Linked DNA regions of Xenopus tropicalis. The protein of the gene in region 3 binds, or shares a complex with, the protein of the main gene of each other region. Links are inferred from orthologs where the notes say so. Each region holds a gene or a part of one and is shown on either strand. Other genes may lie near its edges.

The links. The genes of interacting proteins can lie anywhere in the genome.
Region 1: the proteins of tuba1a (region 3) and c1orf194 are in contact, whole or in part, in a cryo-EM structure (PDB 7UNG), measured with the Homo sapiens proteins. The link is inferred for Xenopus tropicalis from reciprocal best matches to the Homo sapiens genes TUBA1A and CFAP276. Residues at the interface, in NP_001257328.1 of Homo sapiens: Lys112, Glu113, Ile115, Asp116, Leu117, Leu119, Asp120, Arg123, Lys124, Asp127, Arg156, Ser158, Val159, Asp160, Gly162, Lys163, Leu195, Glu196, His197, Ser198, Asp199, Tyr262, Pro263, Arg264, Trp346, Lys430, Asp431, Glu434, Val435, Val437; in NP_001231954.1 of Homo sapiens: Pro43, Trp44, Arg46, Leu47, Asn48, Thr50, Pro51, Thr52, Ile53, Thr54, Ser55, Arg57, Arg58, Ala60, Tyr62, Asp64, Ile67, Pro68, Lys69, Asp70, Asp71, Phe74, Arg75, Lys90, Ser91, Leu94, Leu95, Asn96, Lys98, Thr99.
Region 2: the proteins of tuba1a (region 3) and c8h9orf116 are in contact, whole or in part, in a cryo-EM structure (PDB 7UNG), measured with the Homo sapiens proteins. The link is inferred for Xenopus tropicalis from reciprocal best matches to the Homo sapiens genes TUBA1A and PIERCE1. Residues at the interface, in NP_001257328.1 of Homo sapiens: Met1, Arg2, Gln15, Asn18, Ala19, Glu22, Cys25, Leu26, Glu27, His28, Gly29, Ile30, Gln31, Pro32, Asp33, Met36, Pro37, Asp39, Lys40, Asp46, Asp47, Ser48, Asn50, Glu77, Gly81, Thr82, Tyr83, Tyr224, Thr225, Asn228; in NP_001041730.1 of Homo sapiens: Tyr28, Pro35, Gly36, Arg37, Phe38, Trp43, Phe44, Arg45, Gly46, Tyr47, Arg48, Thr58, Ser59, Asn60, Gln61, Ala62, Tyr63, Gly64, Arg66, His71, Glu72, Pro74, Phe77, Tyr78, Pro79, Asn80, Ser81, Asn82, Lys83.

The regions. Positions count from the first base shown.
Region 1 is NC_030678.2:74,560,431-74,564,614, reverse strand, and holds the start of c1orf194 (protein C1orf194 homolog), read right to left. Parts: upstream 2,801-4,184; 5' UTR 2,719-2,800; coding exon 2,644-2,718; intron 1-2,643. UniProt on the Homo sapiens protein: Microtubule inner protein (MIP) part of the dynein-decorated doublet microtubules (DMTs) in cilia axoneme, which is required for motile cilia beating. May play an important role for the maintenance of myelin-axon integrity.
Region 2 is NC_030684.2:7,004,187-7,008,117, reverse strand, and holds the start of c8h9orf116 (UPF0691 protein C9orf116 homolog), read right to left. Parts: upstream 2,801-3,931; 5' UTR 2,668-2,800; coding exon 2,549-2,667; intron 1,702-2,548; coding exon 1,623-1,701; intron 336-1,622; coding exon 153-335; 3' UTR 127-152; coding exon of another isoform or gene 123-126; 3' UTR 1-122. Other genes in the region: mrps2 (28S ribosomal protein S2, mitochondrial), read left to right, coding at 2,960-2,996. UniProt on the Homo sapiens protein: Microtubule inner protein involved in the attachment of outer dynein arms (ODAs) to dynein-decorated doublet microtubules (DMTs) in cilia axoneme, which is required for motile cilia beating.
Region 3 is NC_030678.2:136,576,892-136,579,029, forward strand, and holds the end of tuba1a (tubulin alpha-1A chain), read right to left. Parts: intron 2,085-2,138; coding exon 1,936-2,084; intron 1,694-1,935; coding exon 713-1,693; 3' UTR 501-712; downstream 1-500. UniProt on the Homo sapiens protein: Tubulin is the major constituent of microtubules, a cylinder consisting of laterally associated linear protofilaments composed of alpha- and beta-tubulin heterodimers.

The DNA of each region.
Region 1 (4,184 bases), about 62 Mb from region 3:
AATTTAATGAAATTTGAGACCATGTGTTCAGTCCTTGCATTATTGATCAATTAAATACACGCGAAACCTTTTTCTGGTTATGTCTTCACAAATTGCTTTAGTTATAATTAAATGCAAAAATGAATAAAGTTTTCCACCTTTTTTGCCAGATTGCTATGTTCACTATTTTGAAAAAATAAATATTTAAGAATTACTCTCAAATGGCCACAGGCCAAGACAAAGCAGTAAAAGAAGCCTTTTGTCAAATGTTTGTCATGCTTTGTGCCTATGAATAAAGGTTTTTAAATATTTAAGATTTGAAGAGTGCTATCCAATCTCTACAAATCAATTGAATCAGGAGGTGAGTGGCTGCTGTGGGAAATGCACTCTGTTGCCTGTCGTGTGCTATTACATATTAAGTAGTTGCTCTGCCCTGTTGACAATAATGTGCTATGGTATGGCCCAGAAATGGCTGAAACATAATAATAAAATATTTGCTAAAGGATGAGTCCAACAACATCTATTTATAATGTTTCAGCTCTAACTGTACAGTTACAGTTTAATGATGTACACAGATATTTTACATTAGAGCCTGGCCACCCCATACAGCACCAGAGCCTTGTCAGCCCAGTCGCCAAATGAAGCAATATTCACAATAATTGCGTGTACTCTCTAGAGCAGTGATTCACAACCAGTGATCCGTGAGCAACATGTTTCTACCTAACCCCTTGGATGTTGCCCCCAATGGCCTAAATTCCTGGATTGGAGGCAAATTTTGGTTGCATAAAAACAGTTGCACTGCCAAACAGAACCTCATTTAGGCTGCCCGTCCACATAGGAGCTACCAAATAGCCAACTACAGCCCCTATTTGGTGCACTCATGAACATTTTTAATGCTTGAGCTGCTCCCCAACTCTCTTTACATTTGAGTGTGGCTTATGGGCAAAAAAGTTGCATTAACCCCCTTCTGGAAAAAGAAATGCCATCCAAAGAAGAGGTTGTGTTACATGCTGTGTCACAGAGCACATGTATCTGTATAAGATAAACTTCCCATTTTAAACAGGAAATTCAGGTCTTGCCATGTTCTTTTAACATAAACAGTGAGACTGCTTACTCATAACCTCCGCTTAGGACACTTAAATTAATAATTCAAACTTCTGATAAACATGTGCATCAATGCAAGAAATAAAGGGAGTATTTATTAACATTGGAGACAAAGATCACTGGTGATGTTGCCCAACTAATCAGCAATTATATTTAAGTTTTAGAAATCAAAAGCAAATATCTGATTGGCTGCAATGGGCAACATCACTGGTGATCTTCATCTCAAATTTTAATAAATACCCCTAAAAATAGCAGCAATAGAATACACAGACTTTATATTATGAAACAATGGTGAGTTGCTTATAGGCGTTATGCCATTTGTGCAGTAATGACTGCACTTTCTCAGGAGAATTTAAATTATGCCAGTACAATAGAAATTTGTATGATATTTGTATTACTGTCACATTTGTCTATATAATCACACCTATAAGTAGCCTTACAGGAGGGTTTACTACATTTAAATACAGATGTACATCATATCTATTTTGCATTTATGTTCAAATTTATTGGAATCTTAAATTATTAGATGATTTACATGTTCAGAGTAGACAGTCCCACCATTTATTAATCCAAAGGGGGTTTATAACTTTTATGTGTATGTATTTTAGACACTGAAGTGCTAAAAGTTAAAGTTCAAGTTAAATGCACTAATCTTGTAGGTTTGTGCTACCTTATAAGGTGTTTATTATAACTCTGAGCTGGGTTCTGTTTGTATGTTTTCCCAATATCTTTTTGGTTTCCTCCAGTTGTTTTCCAACAACATAGAGACAGGTTAATTGGCTCCTTATAAAATGGACCGTAGCATATGTGACTTACCCAGTGACTGATATGAATGAAAAACAATCTCTTTAGGTGCTATATAAATAAACATAAAAGGCACCTTATATTTTCTATTGTTTGTTCCAAATACTGGAGATGATGCACCTGCCACTGCAGAAAACATCTTAGTTTCATGTTGTACATTTTGTTTTGTGCTGAGTAATAAAGTCAGGACGTTTTGTGCAAGTGATCCGTTTAGGAAAGCTGCCATTCAGATGAAGTTGTCAAGCAACAGAGAAAACAAAATCACTTTGTTGCTAGAGACAAACATAAATAAAAAAAGCAGAAATAAAATGCCCACTATGGTTTCAGACGTCCATCTGGTGCTAGATAGGTGTGCTCAAGTAACCCATTCATGGAACTGAAACTCCTTTATATTAAGAAGATATTTTTAAGTGAATAAAAACATATAACTAAAGCCAATGTATACAGAGGGGTGAAAACTTTTATTGAAATTGCTCATTCTGCATTGCATCTATCCTTATATTATTTTTTTTAAAAAAGGTTTTATCCTCTAGCACATTTCAGTTTGACAGATGATGCAGTAATTCATAGTATAGCTAAATCATGGAATGAAAAACTCTTTCTTTTACAACAGAAACACAGAGCCTATTGTACCTTGTTTTAAACTTGTTTGCCACTTTTCCCTCTAGAACAGTCCTGTTTTCTTGATTTTACTTGACATCACTGCTTGCAGTTATTGCTATTTCCTAAATTAAGGTTATAAAAGTAACATCCTACCTGGATTTCTTTTCCCTGAAAAGTGTCATCATTCTCATATCTGGTGAAAGGATATGGATCCCTGGAATGTGGCATTTGATGTCAGAGTAGGGTGTATGGAGACAGTCTCTGGAAGCAGATGCCGATGCTCAGCTCTCTTGGCTCATATAGCTGTCCTTTTGTTGACATGTTGCTAGGAGACGATAGCATAGTACTGGACAGTAGCCAAAGAGCAGGGGCATGTGACAATAAATAGCTAAAAAGTTATACTGAAACTTTATAAATGCACATTTGGGTTTGTTTTGTAATTGGACATTTTTTTGGGTGCCTATTTTTTTTTTTTTGCAACTGAAACATCTGAAGTGACCATCATAATTTGTACTAGAACAATACAAATACAGTTTTAAATAGACAATATAACCAAATAAATGTTATTCCTCCATGGTTTTCTAAATAGGAGTAGTTTTGGAGGAAACAAATGTAATTTTAGAAAATGTATAAAAAGGGGAGAACATACAAACTGCTGATAGGGCCTTGGCTGGAATCAAGTCTAAATGATAACAATAATAATAGTTAAAAACAAAGTAATAATTGCTGAGTGGTGATGAGTGAATCCGTCCCATTTCGCATTGCCAAAAAAATTGCAAAACTGTTGAAAAACTTGCGTACTGCGTAATGGTAAAAAATTTGCTACCTTGTACGTGATCCCAACTAAGATAATTAATGCTTATTGGAGGCAATACAAGCCTATTGGGTTTATTCAATATTTAAATTATTTTTAGCAGACAAGTTATGGAAATCCAAATTACAGAAAAATCCTTTATCTGGAAAATTTCAGGTCCCGAGCATTCTGGATAACAGGTCCCATACCTGTACTTAAAAGCACTTGACTTGACCTAATTTGTACACCCCTACTAAATTGCTCAAAGGACAATGATTTTTCCCACAGGGCAGGTTTCAAAGTCCACTAGTACAGCACCACACTTTTCTCATGTGTGCTCCTGTGCTAATCCAAGGACAGCTGTGCTTAAATAGAGGGGCGCTGTCAGTGTCTGTTTTTCTTCTAGGTATGCTCCACAATCAGTTATTGCTGTTTGTTCATCATTATGAGACACTCCCTAGTGTTCCTTAAACACAGTGCTCCTTGTGTGCCTTACATGCTTTTCAGAGGTACAATACTTTACAAAGGGAAGAAGCACACCAATACACCGGCCATGCCTCTAACACATTTATTGCAGAAAATAAGTGGCACAAGGTTTTGGGGGTTACCCCCTTCTTCAGGTGCACCTATTGGTGTGCTTCTACCCTTTGTAAAGTACATAAATTGGCTTGGGAGCAGCCGAGGAATTGAAGCACCTTATGGATGTATGCAAGTGGTGTGCTAAAGAATGTTTCTATTGTTTCAGAGGTACAACACATGGGTAGATTCTCTGGTGTAACAAAAATGATTAATGTTTTAATGAATCAAGAGGGGGCTTTGATGGCAGTTAAGCAGTTATTGAGGAACAGCAGCACCCACCCTCCAACATATTTGTGGCAGTACTGCCCACATTCTACTTAAT
Region 2 (3,931 bases), on a different chromosome or scaffold from region 3:
TAATCAGATCTGGAGCCGCTAATGGGGGGCGGGGCTTAATCAGATCTGGAGCCGCTAATGGATCCTAAACCCACAGATATAGGGAAAATGTAGCCGACATAGAAAAGATGGTGACAAAGTATCTAGATATATAATATCCTACATAATCCCATTCAGTGGGAGGGGCCCATGAGTTTGTAGCTCCGGTGGAAATTCAGCCTATCGGCGGCGGTGATGAGATTGTCCGGCCCACTCACGTAGCTCCTCTCCGTGGACGTGTTGAACCCATGGTTCCGGTACATGCCGCATTTCACCGCTGTCTCCGAAAATTTGTCCGAGATGCCGTTAAACGTCGTCTGGAACGACGGAAATGTACTGTTAGTGTGTTATAGAATGGCAGCTTTTCAATTGGTCTTCATTATTTATTTCTTATAGTTTTTCAATTATTTGCCTTTGAATTCTTTGCAGCTTTCAAATGGGGGTCACTGACCCCGGCAGCCAAACCCTATTGCTCTGTGAGGCTCCAGTTTTATTGTTATTGTTACTTTTTATATCTTATTTTTCTATTCAGCCCCTCCCCAATTCATATTCCAGCCTCTCATCCAAACCACTCCCTGGTTGCTAAGGTAATTTGAGCCCTAGCAACAGGATAACTGACCCCAGCAGCCAAAACCTATTGCTCTGTGAGGCTCCAGTTTTATTGTTATTGTTACTTTTTATATCTTATTTTTCTATTCAGCCCCTCCTCAATTCATATTCCAGCCTCTCATCCAAACCACTCCCTGGTTGCTAAGGTAGTTTGAGCCCTAGCAACAGGATAACCGACCCCGGCAGCCAAACCCTATTGCTCTGTGAGGCTCCAGTTTTATTGTTATTGTTACTTTTTATATCTTATTTTTCTATTCAGCCCCTCCCCTATTCACATATCAGTCTTAAATTCAAATCACACCCTCGTTGCTAAGGTAACTTGGACCCTAGCAACCAAATAGCTGCTGCAATTCAAAAAACCACAAATAAAAAATGAAGACCAATTGCAAACTGATCCCAGCAGCCTAAACCTATTGCTCTGTGAGGCTCCAGTTTTATTGTTATTGTTACTTTTTATTCCTTATCTTTCTATTCAGCCCCTCCCCTATTCATATACCAGTCACGCTCTCAAACCACTCCCTGGTTGCTAAGGTAAATTAGACCCTAGCAACCAGATAACTGCCGAAACTCCAAACGGTAGAGCTGCTGAACAAAAAGTAAAACAATTGAAAAACTACAAATAATAAAAAAATGAAGACCAATTGCAAATTTTCTCAGAATATTACTCTCTATATCGTAGTAAAAGTTACACAAATGTGTTGTTCACCTTTACATTAGCTTTCAGTACGATGTAGACAATTTGCAATTGGTCTTCATTTTTTATTATATGTAGTTTTTTAATTGTTTTACTTTTTGTTCAGCAGCTCTCCCATTTGGCATTGCAGCAGTTATCTGGTTGCTAGGGTCTAATCTACCTTAGCAACCCACTGATATCTGGCTGAATATTAGTTTCCCATTGGGCATTGCAGCAACACAGTCCTTACTGGCTGTAGATCAGCTGACCTAGGGCAGTTACACCCCATGCCCCCCCCCAAAACATAAATCAGCTTGCTTACCGGCATTTCATGGACCGTGGGGGGTCGGCTCCCGTATATCTGGTTAGAGGTTCTGTATAAAGGGTTGTCAGTCTTGGGTCTGAAATGAAACGGAAAGATATTATCCATCTGCCCCCCCTACTGGGTTCTGTTACTATGGTTACTGGCCCATCTGGGCTGTCTACTGGGGCAATTGACCTTGGGTGGAACCTTTATGTGGACGGCCCCCCTCGGATTGTACCATTCTCTGCCGGGCACAGGGGAGTATCGCTGGAAGAGATTTGGGGCAGAGGATTGGGGTGAAGGGGTTCAGGGTTAGGTATTGGGGTATATATATATATATATATATCTTTATACACAGTGTCCCTCCCCAATCATCGCTCCAGAAACCCCGGCTCTCTATTGGCCGTCACTGGAAAAAAATCATTTTAAAGGGGATGTTCACACTTTGCAGTTGGTCTTCATTTTTTTTTGGCGGGTTTCAGTCATTTAGCTTTGTATTTAGCAGCTGGAATTTCAGCAGCCGCCTAGTTGCTAGGGCCCTGGCTACCCTTAGCAACCAGCCAGTGGTTTGAATCTGAGACAGGACTACGAATAGAAGGGGGGACTGAATAAAAATATACGGAATAAAAAAAACCAATAATAACAATGGAAGCTTACAGAGCAGACGGTTGATAAGCTGCCGGGGTCAGTGACCCCCATTTGAAAGAAGTAGAAGAGTTAGGAAAATAGTTTATAAACTATAGACAATAAATAATGAAGACCAACTGCATACTTGCTTGGAATAGGACATTCTATAACTTGGCTTAAAGGTGAACTCCCGCTTTATTTGTACCATTACTAGTGTAAGCACTGACCATTACATAGCAACCATCACTCAGTTGGCCCTTAGGGGCCCCAGATCTGCCAGTAAAACCCCTACTCCCAGAGTGCATTGCGCCACATACCTGTACCCCCGTCTCCACGTCTCTGGTTGGTTGAACTTGGGGGGCAGAGACTCACTCACCCTGTAGAAGTCGCAGGTTTGGGGGTCGGAGGATGTTCCCTGTGCTGGACTCTCCGACATCTTGGGGTTCCCTTGGGGCAGGAGGCTGGCGGCTTGTGTGAGAAACAACTTCTGTTTAAACAATCCCTGACTGCTTGGCAACCGTTGCTAAGAAACCACTAGAGGGCAACCGGAGCTTCCTGCAGTCAGCCATAGCAAAGCGCACAGCCCGCTGTATAACGGGAAGAGTGCAGTTAGCAGTGTGACCAGCAGGTGTCGCTGTGGTACCCGGGAACCTTGAGCTTTCGCTGCCGGAGGAAATGAGTGAGCCGGAAGCGCAGCGCTCAGTGACCTTCCCCTTATGGGACTCAGCATGGCGGCGTCTGGCCTCACCGGGCTGATAAAGAGAGGTAGGCTCTGTCTCCTCTGCACTCAGGGCTCTGTCTCTTCTGCACTCAGGGCTCTGTCTCCTCTGCACTCAGGGCTCTGTCTCTTCTGCACTCAGGGCTCTGTCTCTTCTGCTCTCAGGGCTCTGTCTCTTCTGCACTCAGGGCTCTGTCTCCTCTGCACTCAGGGCTCTGTCTCCTCTGCACTCAGGGCTCTGTCTCCTCTGCACTCAGGGCTCTGTCTCTTCTGCACTCAGGGCTCTGTCTCTTCTGCACTCTCTGCTAAGGACAGGTAGGGTCTGTCTCTTCTGCACTCTCTGCTAGGGACAGGTAGGGTCTCTCTCTTCTGCACTCTCTGCTAGGGACAGGTAGGGTCTGTCTCTTCTGCACTCTCTGCTAGGGACAGGTAGGGTCTGTCTCTTCTGCACTCTCTGCTAGGGAAAGGTAGGGTCTGTCTCTTCTGCTCTCAGGGCTCTGTCTCCTCTGCACTCTCTGCTAGGGACAGGTAGGGTCTCTGTTTCTGCACTCTCTGTTAGTGACAGGTAGGGTCTGTCTCTGCACTCTCTGTTAGTGACAGGTAGGTCTCTGCACTCTCTGCTAGGGACAGGTAGGTCTCTGTTTCTGCACTCTCTGCTAGGGACAGGTAGGGTCTGTCTCCTCTGCACTCTCTGTTAGTGACAGGTAGGTCTCTGCACTCTCTGCTAGGGACAGGTAGATCTCTGTTTCTGCACTCTCTGCTAGGGACAGGTAGGGCTCTGTCTCTTCTGCACTCTCTGCTAGGGACAGGTAGGGTCTCTGTTTCTGCACTCTCTGTTAGTGACAGGTAGGGTCTGTCTCTGCACTCTCTGTTAGTGACAGGTAGGTCTCTGCACTCTCTGCTAGGGACAGGTAGGGTCTCTGTTTCTGCACTCTCTGTTAGTGACAGGTAGGGTCTGTCTCTGCACTCTCTGTTAGTGACA
Region 3 (2,138 bases):
CATAAGGGAGGCAGAGTGCTGCCTGTGTGTGCCATACTCTGCCTGCCCTATGCTGACTGTGAGAGGTGAACCTGGCAGGGGTTTGTTCTGGGAGTTTGTTAGTAGTTGGAAACCACCATTATATGGTCCCTAAGGTGTGTAATTATGTGCTGGGGGTTGCTGTGCTATCCACAGGGGAGGAGGAGGCATATGGATGTAAGGGTATGTCTTAATATGACATAATATAATTCTTTCATATATGAATAACTGTTGATATCCCCGCAGTGAGGACCAAGCATTTGGGCTTTTGCTGCACTACCACCATTGTGATAAAATGGGTGTGATTCAAAAAAGGGGAGTGGCCAAAACTGGCTTCCATTAGCGGCCCTCGACCATGTATGCTAGAGAAATTCCGGCCCTTGGCACCGCAGAAGTTGGACAGCACTGTTTTAGACCTTTGGATAGCCCTACCTGACTCTGAAAGAAATCAATATAACACAACGGAAAACCACAGATAGAAATTCTGTATGACAGGGAATGTGTTTATTGTCAAATCCACAACAAAAATAAATGGCTGGATCTGTTTCAAGAGTTTCAAGTGTTTTAGACCAAATCATTTTAATGCAGCAAAAACATATCATAGAAATTAGCTACATAAAAATAACTTGATCAAACATTTTGCATTTTTTGGATGGTTTTAAGTTCCCTGTTAAAAGCAGCACCGTTTTGACATTTAATATTCTTCTCCTTCCTCTTCACCCTCTCCTTCCACAGAGTCTACACCAACCTCCTCATAATCCTTCTCCAGGGCAGCCATGTCTTCACGGGCCTCAGAGAACTCACCCTCCTCCATACCCTCACCCACATACCAGTGCACGAAGGCACGCTTGGCATACATGAGATCAAACTTGTGGTCCAGACGAGCCCAGGCCTCAGCAATTGCAGTGGTATTGCTCAGCATACACACAGCACGCTGCACCTTAGCCAGGTCTCCCCCTGGAACCACAGTTGGGGGCTGATAGTTGATACCAACTTTGAAACCAGTTGGGCACCAATCCACAAACTGGATGGTACGCTTTGTCTTGATGGTGGCAATAGCTGCATTTACATCTTTGGGTACCACATCACCACGGTACAACAGGCAACAAGCCATGTATTTACCGTGGCGTGGATCACATTTCACCATCTGGTTAGCTGGTTCAAAGCAGGCATTTGTGATCTCAGCAACAGAAAGCTGCTCGTGATAAGCCTTCTCTGCAGAGATGACAGGGGCATAGGTGGCAAGAGGGAAGTGAATACGGGGATAGGGCACCAAGTTGGTCTGGAACTCTGTGAGATCTACATTCAGGGCTCCATCAAACCTCAGAGAGGCTGTGATGGAAGACACAATCTGGCCTATAAGCCTGTTCAGGTTGGTGTAGGTTGGGCGTTCAATATCTAGATTCCTGCGGCAGATGTCATAAATGGCCTCATTGTCTACCATGAAAGCACAGTCAGAGTGCTCCAGGGTGGTGTGAGTGGTGAGTATAGAGTTGTAGGGCTCAACCACAGCTGTGGAGACCTGAGGAGCTGGATAGATGGAGAACTCTAGTTTAGACTTCTTTCCATAATCAACAGAGAGACGCTCCATCAGCAGGGAGGTGAATCCAGAACCAGTACCACCACCAAAGCTGTGGAAGACCAGGAAACCCTGGAGACCTGTGCACTGGTCAGCCTAAGAATAAAACAGAATAGTACAAAATTATGATATGGTCCTGCATCTGACAATACAAACAGCAACCCCAAAGCTTTTAGAACTGAGGGGTTATTATTGTATGGCCTAGCTAGATGGAACTGCATACAAATAACTAGATTAACTAACAGCTAACATTTAGGTAATAAAGGCTACTTTATTATGATGTAAAGTAGACTGACTTTTTTATGAATGTGATCCAAGAAATGTCACAATAATCATACCAGTTTGCGGATCCTGTCCAGCACCAGGTCAATGATCTCCTTGCCAATTGTGTAGTGACCACGGGCATAGTTATTGGCAGCATCTTCCTTTCCAGTGATAAGTTGCTCTGGGTGGAAGAGTTGGCGGTATGTGCCAGTGCGCACCTCATCTAGAAAAAGAGATTGTAATGCTTAAGCAATCTATGGCACCTTTTGGCAGAAAA